Linked DNA regions of Bombyx mori. The protein of the gene in region 2 purifies or fractionates together with the protein of the main gene of each other region. This does not show direct contact. Links are inferred from orthologs where the notes say so. Each region holds a gene or a part of one and is shown on either strand. Other genes may lie near its edges. The genes, in order: probable protein BRICK1-B, cytoplasmic FMR1-interacting protein and actin-binding protein WASF3.

The links.
Region 1: the proteins of cytoplasmic FMR1-interacting protein (region 2) and probable protein BRICK1-B purify together in Drosophila melanogaster (affinity purification with western blotting; 4 studies listed by BioGRID). This does not show direct contact. The link is inferred for Bombyx mori from reciprocal best matches to the Drosophila melanogaster genes Cyfip and HSPC300.
Region 3: the proteins of cytoplasmic FMR1-interacting protein (region 2) and actin-binding protein WASF3 purify together in Drosophila melanogaster (affinity purification with mass spectrometry; 3 studies listed by BioGRID, with this or other methods). This does not show direct contact. The link is inferred for Bombyx mori from reciprocal best matches to the Drosophila melanogaster genes Cyfip and SCAR.

Annotation. Positions count from the first base shown.
Region 1 is NC_085125.1:1,885,411-1,889,755, reverse strand, and holds the start of probable protein BRICK1-B, read right to left. Parts: upstream 2,847-4,345; 5' UTR 2,337-2,846; coding exon 2,216-2,336; intron 1,775-2,215; coding exon 1,692-1,774; intron 866-1,691; coding exon 839-865; 3' UTR 1-838. Other genes in the region: focadhesin, read left to right, coding at 3,152-3,432.
Region 2 is NC_085117.1:1,808,999-1,812,799, forward strand, and holds the end of cytoplasmic FMR1-interacting protein, read right to left. Parts: intron 3,208-3,801; coding exon 3,060-3,207; intron 2,329-3,059; coding exon 2,173-2,328; 3' UTR 585-2,172; downstream 1-584. UniProt on the Drosophila melanogaster protein: Plays a role in guidance and morphology of central and peripheral axons and in synaptic morphology. Also required for formation of cell membrane protrusions and for bristle development.
Region 3 is NC_085109.1:3,372,433-3,376,089, reverse strand, and holds part of actin-binding protein WASF3, read right to left. Parts: coding exon 3,581-3,657; intron 2,255-3,580; coding exon 2,103-2,254; intron 1,212-2,102; coding exon 943-1,211; intron 1-942.

The DNA.
Region 1 (4,345 bases), on a different chromosome or scaffold from region 2:
GCCTCTCAAGGCTATCAGCTTAGGTAGGAAAAAAAAACAGTAAGAATCTATTGAATCCTTCTCCAAACATCAGACATGTGCACTCGAATGTACTTCTAGATTTATGTTTCAGTTTTTCGTCCGTCCCCCTCTACTTTGAGTCTGTAGTCAAATACACTACCGCGATTCAGGCAATCATCATCAACTCTCCGCGAAATTGGTTACAGTTAGTTATTTATAAATTTCTAGAAAGAGAACCACTTTGTTTTATGCATGTTCAGTCTAATACAATTGACATTTTTTCTTTACATATTTAACTTGTTTTCTTGGTGAAAGAATCAGCAACAAAGCTAATTTTGCAAATGGAATGTGCTGATTTTGGTAAACTTTAATATATAAAATTTATACATATACAAAACGTGTATAAACACATTCTTGTGTGATTCAGTTTAGTGAACTTAAAGATATAAAATTTAGACATGTATAAATAAAGATATTCTTGTGTAGCTCATTGAAAGTAACAGAAATGGAACATAAAAGAAATAAATAGATAGCAGAGGAGAAAGCGAGAGAAATTCTATTTTTATTCATTCTTGCCACAGAGTGCCTCCTAATACTAATCTCATCATGCCTAAAGCAGTGGCTTCAATAATTTAAACACACCTTACCTATATCAGGTCTTAATAATAACATATTTTTTAACATTGCTTCAAAGTAGTTCGATATATAATATGTACTTTTAATATCCAAATTTTATTGCAGTTTTGTTATACTGGAGAGTAGAGATTGTTCAGTGATTGCTACATTATTGAACTTATGTCTAACGCTTATAATTATATGGAATTTATCAAAGATTACTTCATGTTAAGGTTTCACCTTTAGTTACCTGAAAATAAAAACAATTTATATGGTAATTACTAGATTACTGGATTTGTTTATAGTCAAACTGCTACTAGGGACTTAAAAAAACCCATGGACATCAAAATAGTGCTATCCAAATTGATGCAGAAGGTCAATTTTAAACTCATAATAATTGGAAAGTATTTATCTTACTCTTGAAACAAGAATACACAATTGCTTTATGAGAGAAATGTGTACATATTTCATAAAAAAATTATGAATTTTAAGTTTCACTTCATTATTGAATGATGTTTGAAAAAATCACATCCAAACTTAGTGAGTGCTTTTTTGGAATAATTTCAATAGGATTTTTTATTTATTAATTTATTAGTTAGTTAGGAACTTTTTTTTTGCTGTAATTTGCAGCAGCAAGACTGCTTCTGGCAGTGCAGAAATTGTTGGGCAACAATAACCACTCATCATCAGGTGTGGTGTTTCCTCATTTGTCTAAAAAGGCAAAAAAATACAAGCTTCATCTAGAAGATTTATGATGTAATGCGTATGATGTCAGATGCGCATTTGACAACTATTTGATCATATCGACGCTTGAAAGGCAAATGTGACTAAGCAACAATAACTGCTTTGTACATAAATGATAGGCAATAACCATATTTGATGCACAGAAAAAATATATTTCTATGTCTATTAAAATCATTTCAATCTTACAGCTACTAGCTAGATTCTACTACAGATAGATTCATTAAAATAAATTTTGTTTTCAGGTATTTCAACTTTAAATTAGTCTACTGTAAAGTTTACGCATTGTCGCTTAGTCACGTTTGCCTTTCAAGCGTCGATATGTAACTACTTACACAAGCTTCCAAATAATCAATCTTCCTCTCTAATGATGTTAATTTTTCATTCAAAGTGGCAAGGCGAGATCTACAGGACATGTCTGAAAATTTGATGATATTATGATAATTTCACATTTATAAAGACTTACATTTTTTGACCTGTTTTAACAGAATATTTTCTATGGGTTCTGCAAGTTGTAGACAACAATAGTTGTAGACAACAATAGTTGTAGACAACAATAGTTGTAGACAACAATAGTCGTAGACAACAATAGTTGTAGACAACAGTAGTTGTAGACTACTTTTTTGTTGTATGTTTAATTGAAAATATATTTACAGTTTAATCTCCCATTTTTATTGTTATTTTATTATTACCATCGTTTCGAAAACTACATTTTTCACTGACGACTGAGATTTTTCCATTCCTTGTGTTTTGAAAGGCGAGTACCTTATCCTATGAAAAATTAATAGTGTTCTGAATTTGAAATTAAAATGTTTCTTGTTTAAGAACCTCCTGTAGCTGCTGATATTGATACACTTACCGAACGAATTGAGGAAGTCTGTAATTTTTTTTATGCTGCCTGTGATCACTTCTATGTATTCTCTGTTGGCCCAATCCTGCTGGATTTGTTTCTGTATTGTTTCTCTTGGAGGCGTCGACATTATATATAATCAGTCACGACTTATTTTAAATAGCTTATAAAGTAGATTTACTCTGTACTTAAGTATTTTAAAAGAGTTATCAAGTTTAATTAATGAATCAAATTGAGGTAAATCTTTTCATTCATTCAGTGTTTCAAACAAATAATAATAGTTTGACATTTGACAGCTTAGAATTTTGCTCGTTGATTGTTCTAATTGAGGCAGAGGATGCGATGTCAGCTTAGAATCAGAATCCACTACAATATCTCTACTCATCAGTGTCACAAAAGTCGACGAAGTCATTCACCGTGGAGTGGCAAGCAGCGTTCCTTGAGTATACCGTCCTATTGCGATCTCCAAACGACATTTTCTTGTAGTAGGACGTATTGTTAGCCCTGGGCAGGTATATTCACCTATTGTAGTTCTACTGCCTAGCAGTATACGTTCCGAGATACAACCGTTAAACCATACAAATGAAACTTTGATCTTGTGTCTCAAGGTATGTGGCGGAATTTATTTTGGGATGTCTATGGGCCATGGATGTGGTGCTTTAAATCAGGCGAGCTATGAGATCGTTCTCGTGCTAATACATCATACGTAGCATAAATATCCAATTGTTTTTGTAAAGAAGGTTAATTTTTTATTTTTTTTATTTCAAGATTTGGCTGTACGAGCAATGTGCCCTTTTCCTGTTCAAGTGAACAAGATGAACAAAAAATGACAACATTAAACAGCTGTTTGATTTAGGACTTAGGTTAGAAATTAACTTAAAAAAATCTGTATCTGCAATAGCCTATAAATTACCGGCTTACAAATTTTACACAGAAAACATAAAAATGGACGAAATCGAATACAAATTGAAAACTAACAACAGTGTCTTAATAGTCAACGCAGTAGAAAAGTTGATAACATTGATAAAATCAAAATTCAAACGTGAAGAACGACAGAGATTCGTTTTGGAAAACGAGGAATTGAAGTTTTTGAGGAAGAAATGTTCGTCCAAAGATCCTGTTGTGAGCCTGACAGCCTGTCAAGGACTCCTAGCGTTGGTGGAACTCGGTGTTTTGGAAATACCGCACACAATGTCCACTGTAGTAACACTCATACCGACTGCGCAGTAAGTACACGAATTCTCATTAAGTTTCCATATGGTACATTTAAAACTAAACTTAGTATAAATAAATTGTATGTTGATATTTTTGTAGTATCTCAGCTACTTCATTGCAGTGAGGTTATACTCAATTTTGTCTTATTAATTTTGATGTAGTATAAACAAATATGTATTAGGAGTACTAGTATTTATAATTAAAACAAAAAATATAACTAAGTAGCTTTTCAAGAATCAAAATAAAGACTATAAATTGATAAGAATTAAAAATACTTTATCAAAATAAATGTTTAAATATTAATTTATATTGTTTTCAAAGCTATTTCAATTTAATTACGTATCATTAGTATAATGTATTATATAAAATCAGGTATACAAGTAATAACTAATTGTTGTTTTATTTTCAAAATGGCCTCATCCACAAATAGAATAAGTTGGTATGTAACTTGATCTTGCCTAAAAGCAAACTTTTCATTCGACTTCATTGATTTTATTAACATTTATACCAAACACTCATAAACCATTCTAAATGTGCAAAGTAAATAATGTGTGTGAGCTTTAGCTAGGAAATTTGAACTTACTGGTGTAAGGGAAATTGATCAGCACATTTTTAATCCCTTGCCTTTTTGTCTCAAAGTAAACAGCTACCTTCTGTGGACCACATTAATCATTCAGCAGACCCTTTAGGAAGTCTGCATACAGAGTGCATTATAATCATTGATTTGATTAATCTTGTAATCCAAAGTAAACAGAAACATTATCACCACTTTTGTACATGTAACTTTAAATAATGTATACTTTTCGGTGTCAAAGAACTTGCTTCATAATATAAACATTATCAAAAAATTTTGCTATCTTTGATTTTTCGAGTCATATAATTAATGCTACTTTAACTTTTGTAATTTGCATTGTTGTGAAAACC
Region 2 (3,801 bases):
TATTTGAATTCTTTATTTCGTGTAGTCAGTTACCTGTTCGGCCAATACATGTGTGACGGTTGAAGATTTGAGACACATATAGTACGGGTTTGACCCGTTCGCCTTGAGACATGAGGCATTTAACTTGATTCTGAAGAGATTGTGGAGATTACGGTAGGCAGCTGTTCGGCTCTGTCCCTGGCATTGTTGATCCATGAGCGACGGTAACCACTCACCATCAGGTGGGCCGTACGCTCCACCGCCTAATAGGGGAATAAAAATCTTCTTTTTCTTCACCTTATCCCACTAGGTGGGGTCGGTACAGCGAATTTTTCTCTTCCATTCTCTTCTATCAGCCGTCATCTCAACACTCACTCCTCTCTCTCTCATATCGTCATTCACACACTCCATCCATGTCTTCTTGGGTCGACCTCTTCCCCCTCTACTTAATATATACTTAATAATAGGGCAATAAAAAAATTATATAAAAAATCATTGCAGTAACCTTCGAACATCCAAGGAGAACTTTATGCTTCGTTGTCATCATTAAAATATACTAAAATTATTTTATCCAGCGACTAACTAAATTACAAAATAAAACACAATTTATTTATCATAGCTTTGATTTAATTTATATTTAATAATAAAATTGTATTGAGAAACAACACAAGTATTGAGTGCTGCAAGATTGGCATACGCGCACTTTACTATTGACAATGTCAATGTGTTGTCGATATATTAAAAATGGAGAAGACGAGACGGCTATCTAAACATAAAATTTAAACGTTCAATGTATCAGTAATAAATACAAAGAGTATCATGAGCATGCAATGTATAGCGTACAAAACATTTCGCTTCTCAATTCTCCGACAATTATAAAAACATTACAAATATAATTACTATATTAGACAATGATTTTAGTACATTTAATACAATATAACAAAAAAATCGAGCCAAAAAGTCTAATATTAGTAGTAAAAATCAAATCGCTTCAAATAATTACTTTCTAATACTATTTGTCTTGAGTTCGAAATAATTTTACAAAAATCCTCATTTATATATCTACACAAATAAATAAAATTGGAGTGTCTGTCTGTCTAAATGCGTAAGTATGTATACCACAGTACATATACCAAAATATTTTTTAGTTTTTGTCCGTCTTAATGCCTCTAAAGATATTCTTAAAAAAAAACTAATATTATTACAATTACAAGTGACATGCGCGTCTAGAACGCTGCTCAGACGATCATAAGCGTCCCCACGTGTACGTCATAGGAATGGCTTAGTTTTAATTATATCATAGTAACAATTATACAGGGTGTTACAAAATGTTTAGTTCCTACACCATTAAGGCATCGCGAGCTTTGATATTAAGGACATTAATATCTCAGATTCTCTCCAATCGCTACTGTAGGTTGGCGAGCATACGGCCCAACTGATGGTAAGTTGAGGGGCTCAGAGATAAAGCTCTGTGAAGCACTTTTTTGGCACACCGTGTAATCACAAATCGATATTGTTGGCCCTTTATGAACTTTGTAGGTATATGACCCACATGAGGTCACCGTGGCTCATGGACATCAACAAAACAGCCAAACAACATAAAATTCAAATGGAATTGAAATTACTGAAGGCTAATAGACGTTAAAAGTATAATTACAATTACTGGTAGTAGGACCTCTTGTGAATCCGTGCGGGTAGGTACCACCACCCTGCCTATTTCTGCCGTGAAGCAGTAATGCGTTTCGGTTTGAAGGATGGAGCAGCCGTTGTAACTATACTGAGACCTTAGTCTCAAGGTGGGTGGCGCATTTACATTGTAGATGTCAATGGGCTCCAGTAACCACTTAACAGCTGGGCTGTGAGCTCGTCCAACCATCTAAACCAGGGGTTCCCAAACTTATTTTGTCTACTGCCCACTTTGAGAATAAATTATTTTTTAGCGCCCCCATTTTATCACCTACTTCAAGACCTCTATAGCGAGAGAGCTCAGTCGGTGTCTAAGAGTCCTTCTAGATAAAATTACAAATTGCCTCCCAAACCTCTACACAGCGCCCCCAATTTTTTTCTGGGTCTCTTACCGCCCCCTTTAGGCCTTCAGCGCCCATAAGGGGGCGTTATCACCCACTTTGGGAAAGGCTGATCTAAGTAATAAAAAAAAATGGAATTTTCGTCGAGTTCTGGTCGCGCGGCGGCTCAGTTGAGCGTAAGCGGCGCCTGCGGGGGCGGGAAGCAGCGCACGTGCTCGACGCCGGCCGCGTCGTCCGCGGACAGCTGCCTGGACAGCACGCCGAAGATCTGCGAGTTCAGCACTTGGAACCGCCTGATGCGGTCCACCATCCGCTTGAGGGGCTGCGGACACAGGTAATACATAAATCTATACTAGTATATCAATCTACAGTGGTTTTACGGATGTTCCGTTATAACTACAGAACCGTGCATCCGATTGACTTGTAACTTGGTATTCATGTAAAAAATACATGTACTTAATGGATAGGCTAATATTTATATGAGTTTTGGACTCCCTACACCGGTTGCGGGGGCGTTAATGATGAGAATCTTTGTGGGGTTGAGAAGTAATAATGTTAATTTTAAATGCCCAGCGAAGCGGACGGGTACAGCTAGTATACATATATATAACGAGGGGAGAAAGACTATTTGGTTTAAGCGACATTTTTGTAACTTTACCGGAGAGCCATTTAAAGTTTAAATTTATTTTTGGAAGAAATATTAATTTCAATAAAGTGTTTGTAATTTAATATAAACTAGTGGTCCCCCAGTAGTCGAAATACAAATATAATTTATTGAAATTACTTTGTTTTTACAATTTTACACAGACTTTGAACAATAACAAAAGTTTGACAATAAACAATAAATAAAAGTGTGTGGTCAAATTGAGAATAGATTAATATTATTTGTCTATAGTTGTAGTCTTGGCGAAATCTCTGATTATAGAAGTATAATAAATAGTCTTTGACAATAGAACCATAATAATGTTCAAACTTATAATTTCAAGTATTTCGACTACTGAGGGAAGACCACTATAGTATTACTAAAGTTTTGTTATATGGCGGCGCACTCACAATGCCTTTGACCAGTTCATCCTTTCCGTCGACCCTCTGCACCCTCAGGATGTGGTAGCAGAAGTCCAGCGCCTCGAACCTCCTCTGCTGCCCCAGGAGAGCGATGATGGTGCAGCCGGCCCAATGGAGACCCTCGCCGAACAGTTCCCTGACAGTTCAACATTATAGATGAAGTGCAACTTCTTTAAGGGCGTTGAGGGTAAAATTTAACTTGCGACATATTCGTTACGGCTAGAGGCAAAAGATACGATTTGGAAATAACGAGAGTGAGAACCTACCTACATTTAAGTACTTTTAAGACTGTCGCATTTTTGAAGTGAAACTTCTTTAGGCGCGTTGAGAGTAAAATTAAACTCGCGACAGTTTCGTTACGGCAAGAGAGTTAAGATACAAGTTAGGAAGAGCGAGAGTGAGAGAATAGACAGAGCGTCTCGCGAACCACTCGACCGTCGAGAGAGGGAGAGGACAAAGCGAGATAGGTCGTCTCCTTTATACACAGCATTCCCTATTACAAGAGAGATTTGGAAGACAACTGAGCTGCTGTGTATTAAGAGGGTATTATTAAATTGCTAAAATACAGTGAACGCCTACGCACTTATTTACTCTACGACGAGGGTATGATCTTCCTCTGTCATCATAACTTGGCAAACTCTATATTGGTGGTAGGACGGGTAGGTACCACCGCCCCGCCTATTTCTGCCGTGAAGCAGTAATGCGTTTCGGTTTGCAGCGTGGGGCAGCC
Region 3 (3,657 bases), on a different chromosome or scaffold from region 2:
CAGCAATGAAACACAAAATCAAAAACAGCTGATGCTCGGATCAACGAAGGCCCGGGCGCACGGCCCAACGCCGCGTTTTGTCTTCGTTTTCGGAAGCGGTTTCCTAACACCCAGTATAGTATGATCACTGACACCTCAACTTAGATTCATTGTACGCATTCTATTCCCTCTATTGTTGACCGTTTCCAAGAAAATAAATCTGATAACACCAATACTCTTCAATAATTACTAAACAAATCAAAAAGATAATCGTTGGACAAAGAGACGAGAAAGTAGTACTCAAATATTTTGCCTTAACCTATTTATTCATTTGTATTTAAATAAAAACAATTGAAAGAGAACAACAGTTGACAAAATTCACTTATTCCAATAATGATCACAGGTCTAATGACGATATCGACTATACAACCTGACCAGACAACAAATAAATAAAAAATAAATAAATAAATTTGTATCGATGTCTCAATTCAATCTGATACACAGTACAATCACAATCAAAACAACAATCAACGATTTGTTTGGAAAATAATGGTCTCTTGGAAAAGGCTAGTAGAGCTCGGGGATTCTCGATTCTGTGTATAGTCCTTGTAGACATATATTTACTGGTGGTAGGCCTCTTGTGAGTCCGCACGGGTAGGTACTACCACCCTGCCTATTTCTGCCGTGATGCAGTAATGCGTTTTGATTTAAAGGGTGGGGCAGCAAAAGAATAAACTTTCACTGTCATTATCCGTCCACAAATTAAATAGCTCCTTAACATTCTATAATTCAAAAATATTTTCACTTTCTACGTAAATGAAGTGGAGGTAAAATTTAGCGTTATGCCAAAGTGACTATGCCACGCGGACGACGTCGCGGACTAAAGCTAGTGTAAACTGTATAACTCATGCAAATTTTTATTTTCCCACTATCGTAAATTTAATTCGAGAATCCTCAACAAACCTTCTTCCCTCTATCGTGCTGAATTCGTTCCGTATCTTGGAGCATTTCCCTTCGCCACAGCTCGAAGAAGTAATCGGGGTCCGTGTAGAACTTCCTCGCGTCCCTGCCGTCGTCTCTGAACTCGTTGAGGCGCTCGAGGGGCGGCGGCCGGTCACACTTGGCGTACGTCGCCAGCATCGCGGACGGCATCGTGTTGCGCGAGAACAGCTGTTGCTCGAACGAACGAGACGAACGGAAGGCCTTACGCATCTGGATGTCTTGGATGGACACTGAAAACAATCATTAGTAAGCCGAATATAAATTTCGCTAATTGTTGCTTAAATAAATAGAAAGTTGACTATTGAAATAAACTAGACCAGGGCTGTCTAAACTATACTACCTTTGCGGGCTAATAAAATTACTATATTTTTTTTCCTACCTAGCTGAGAGCCTTGAGAGGCCACTTCAGCGTAACCTTAACTAGTAGGTGAGCTCACGGGGCTCAAACCTGACGACGTTGCTAACACGAACCCTAGCAAGAGCCGTGCTTCGCAGAATCTACCACCGAAACGGAAAGCGACCCACTGAGATGATCCGGTGATAATAGTAAAAGATAGCTTTACTTTTAAATGATGACATGGAGTTGGAAAGTTACAAGAAAACAGATAAATTATACCAAATATTGATTGTATGTCTTGACAAAAAATTCTATCATTCAAACTGTTTATCCAAAACTATTTTCTGATTAAAACCTGCATCGCGGGCCGCATTAAAACAAGCTATGGGCTGGTTTTTCGGACAGCCCTGAACTAGAGACAACAGAGAAGCAGTACTGTTTTATTAACCCTTTGCACTCGAGAGGTGAGTCTCGCTCACGACTTTGTTTGATGCGGAAATTCAATGCGCTGTTTAAGCCAATTATGTTTCTTTGTTTGCTGATTTACATCTTTTTTTTATGTTTTTGATATCGTTATTTTTGTCATTAAATCATGTAGTGAGCGAGATTCACCTCTCGAAGACAAAGGGTTAATAATACAATTCATTTGAAATCATGACAACTCAGTTGAAGAGCGTAATTCAAGACCAGAGTGTAAACGCTGATTGTTGACTCCACTGTGGACTTCTTATGACCTAAATGCATTGTGATGAAGAGTATGAGTAATAATAAAACAAAAAATCACCTTCTTCAACACCGGAATCGAGTTGCGTCACCTTTATAGCGAGCCTGTCTATCCTCGCTTGGAGCACATTAGTTCTGTCCGCCAGGTTCGTGGCCTCCCGGGTCAATTCACCAAACATGTCCTCAGCATGCTTGGAGAGGGAAGAGAGTTGTCTGTAATATTGGAACAGAGTATTGGTAATAATATTTATCGCATTCTATTGCTTAGAATGGTGGACGAGCTCACAGCCCACCTGGTGTGAAGTGGTTACTGGAGCCCATAGACATCTACGGCGTAAATGCCGCCACCCACCTTGAGATATAAGTTCTAAGGTCTCAAGTATAGTTACAACGGCTGCCCCACCCTTCAAACCGAAACGCCATTACTGCTTCACGGCAGAAATAGGCAGGGTGGTTTTCGATTAATGTTTCGAGAAAATTATCTCTTCCTTCTTGAAGAGTCATTTCACCGGTTTCTGCTAATTGAAACCCACTGTGACATGATGGAATGACTATACAACTATCATATTTTATATTAGTGGTACAGGACTGAAGACCTAAGGGTATTCGAATTACGACTGACATGTTCCTTGACACGAGGTATTATGAGACTGGATCATTTCATTCTCAATCTATTCATTATAGACAAAAACAAAATAGCTAAGAAGTACCATTTTCAACTCTGTTTATCAAGCAATGTTTATTTGTTTGTATGTAATGGAATCTTTGAACGACATTTTCGCCAATCAAGACGTCCGATTAACTTGAAAATTTGCATACGCGATTCAATAGCAATAAAAAAAAAAATTCGCTCTATAATCCGAACCAGTATCAACAGGATAAAAAAAAATGAAATTAATCATTATTAACTCGGTTAGCTATTTAAGCTTGTTCTTTTTTTTAATTTATAAACTACAAATTCTTTTAATAATAATTCTTTTAATAATAATTAGAAACATTAACGATCTTATTGTTATTAGTAAGAATGAACAGATATGAGTAGAAGGGTTATTTTGATAATATCCAGAAAAGCATCCCACGCTTTTTTACAATAAAATCACTTTTTCTTACACTATTTTTAATTCAAATTTATTAAAATTTATTTTCTATTTTTTAGTTGGATTTTCTATAAAAGCGTATTGTGTAAGTTTTTTTAAACCATTATTTATTTTTCATTTTTTAGTTGAATTTCGATTTTATAATTATTTTTTTTTTCAATGATTTGTCATTGGTCCTTCTTAATAAGTATGCCAAATTTCGAGTTAATCCGACATTTTGAAGGGGGTCAAAATCATGTTCAAAGATTCCGTTACATACATACGTCTGAAGCTAATAAAAACGTATTAAAAAATAGAAACCGTTTTTTGTTATGTTTATTGAAATCTTGAGATGTCAAAGGTTGCGGTCAAATTTCGATCGATCATTAGTTGAAAGTTAGATTTATTATGTAATTTAATGCGTAGTAAGGTGGGGGTCTAGGGAACGTTGTATAGTACGCACCTGACAGTGTTCGCAAGGGTGCCATTGGTGACGGCCTCCAGTTCCGAAGGCACCGAGAGCCGCTCCGGTACCGTGCC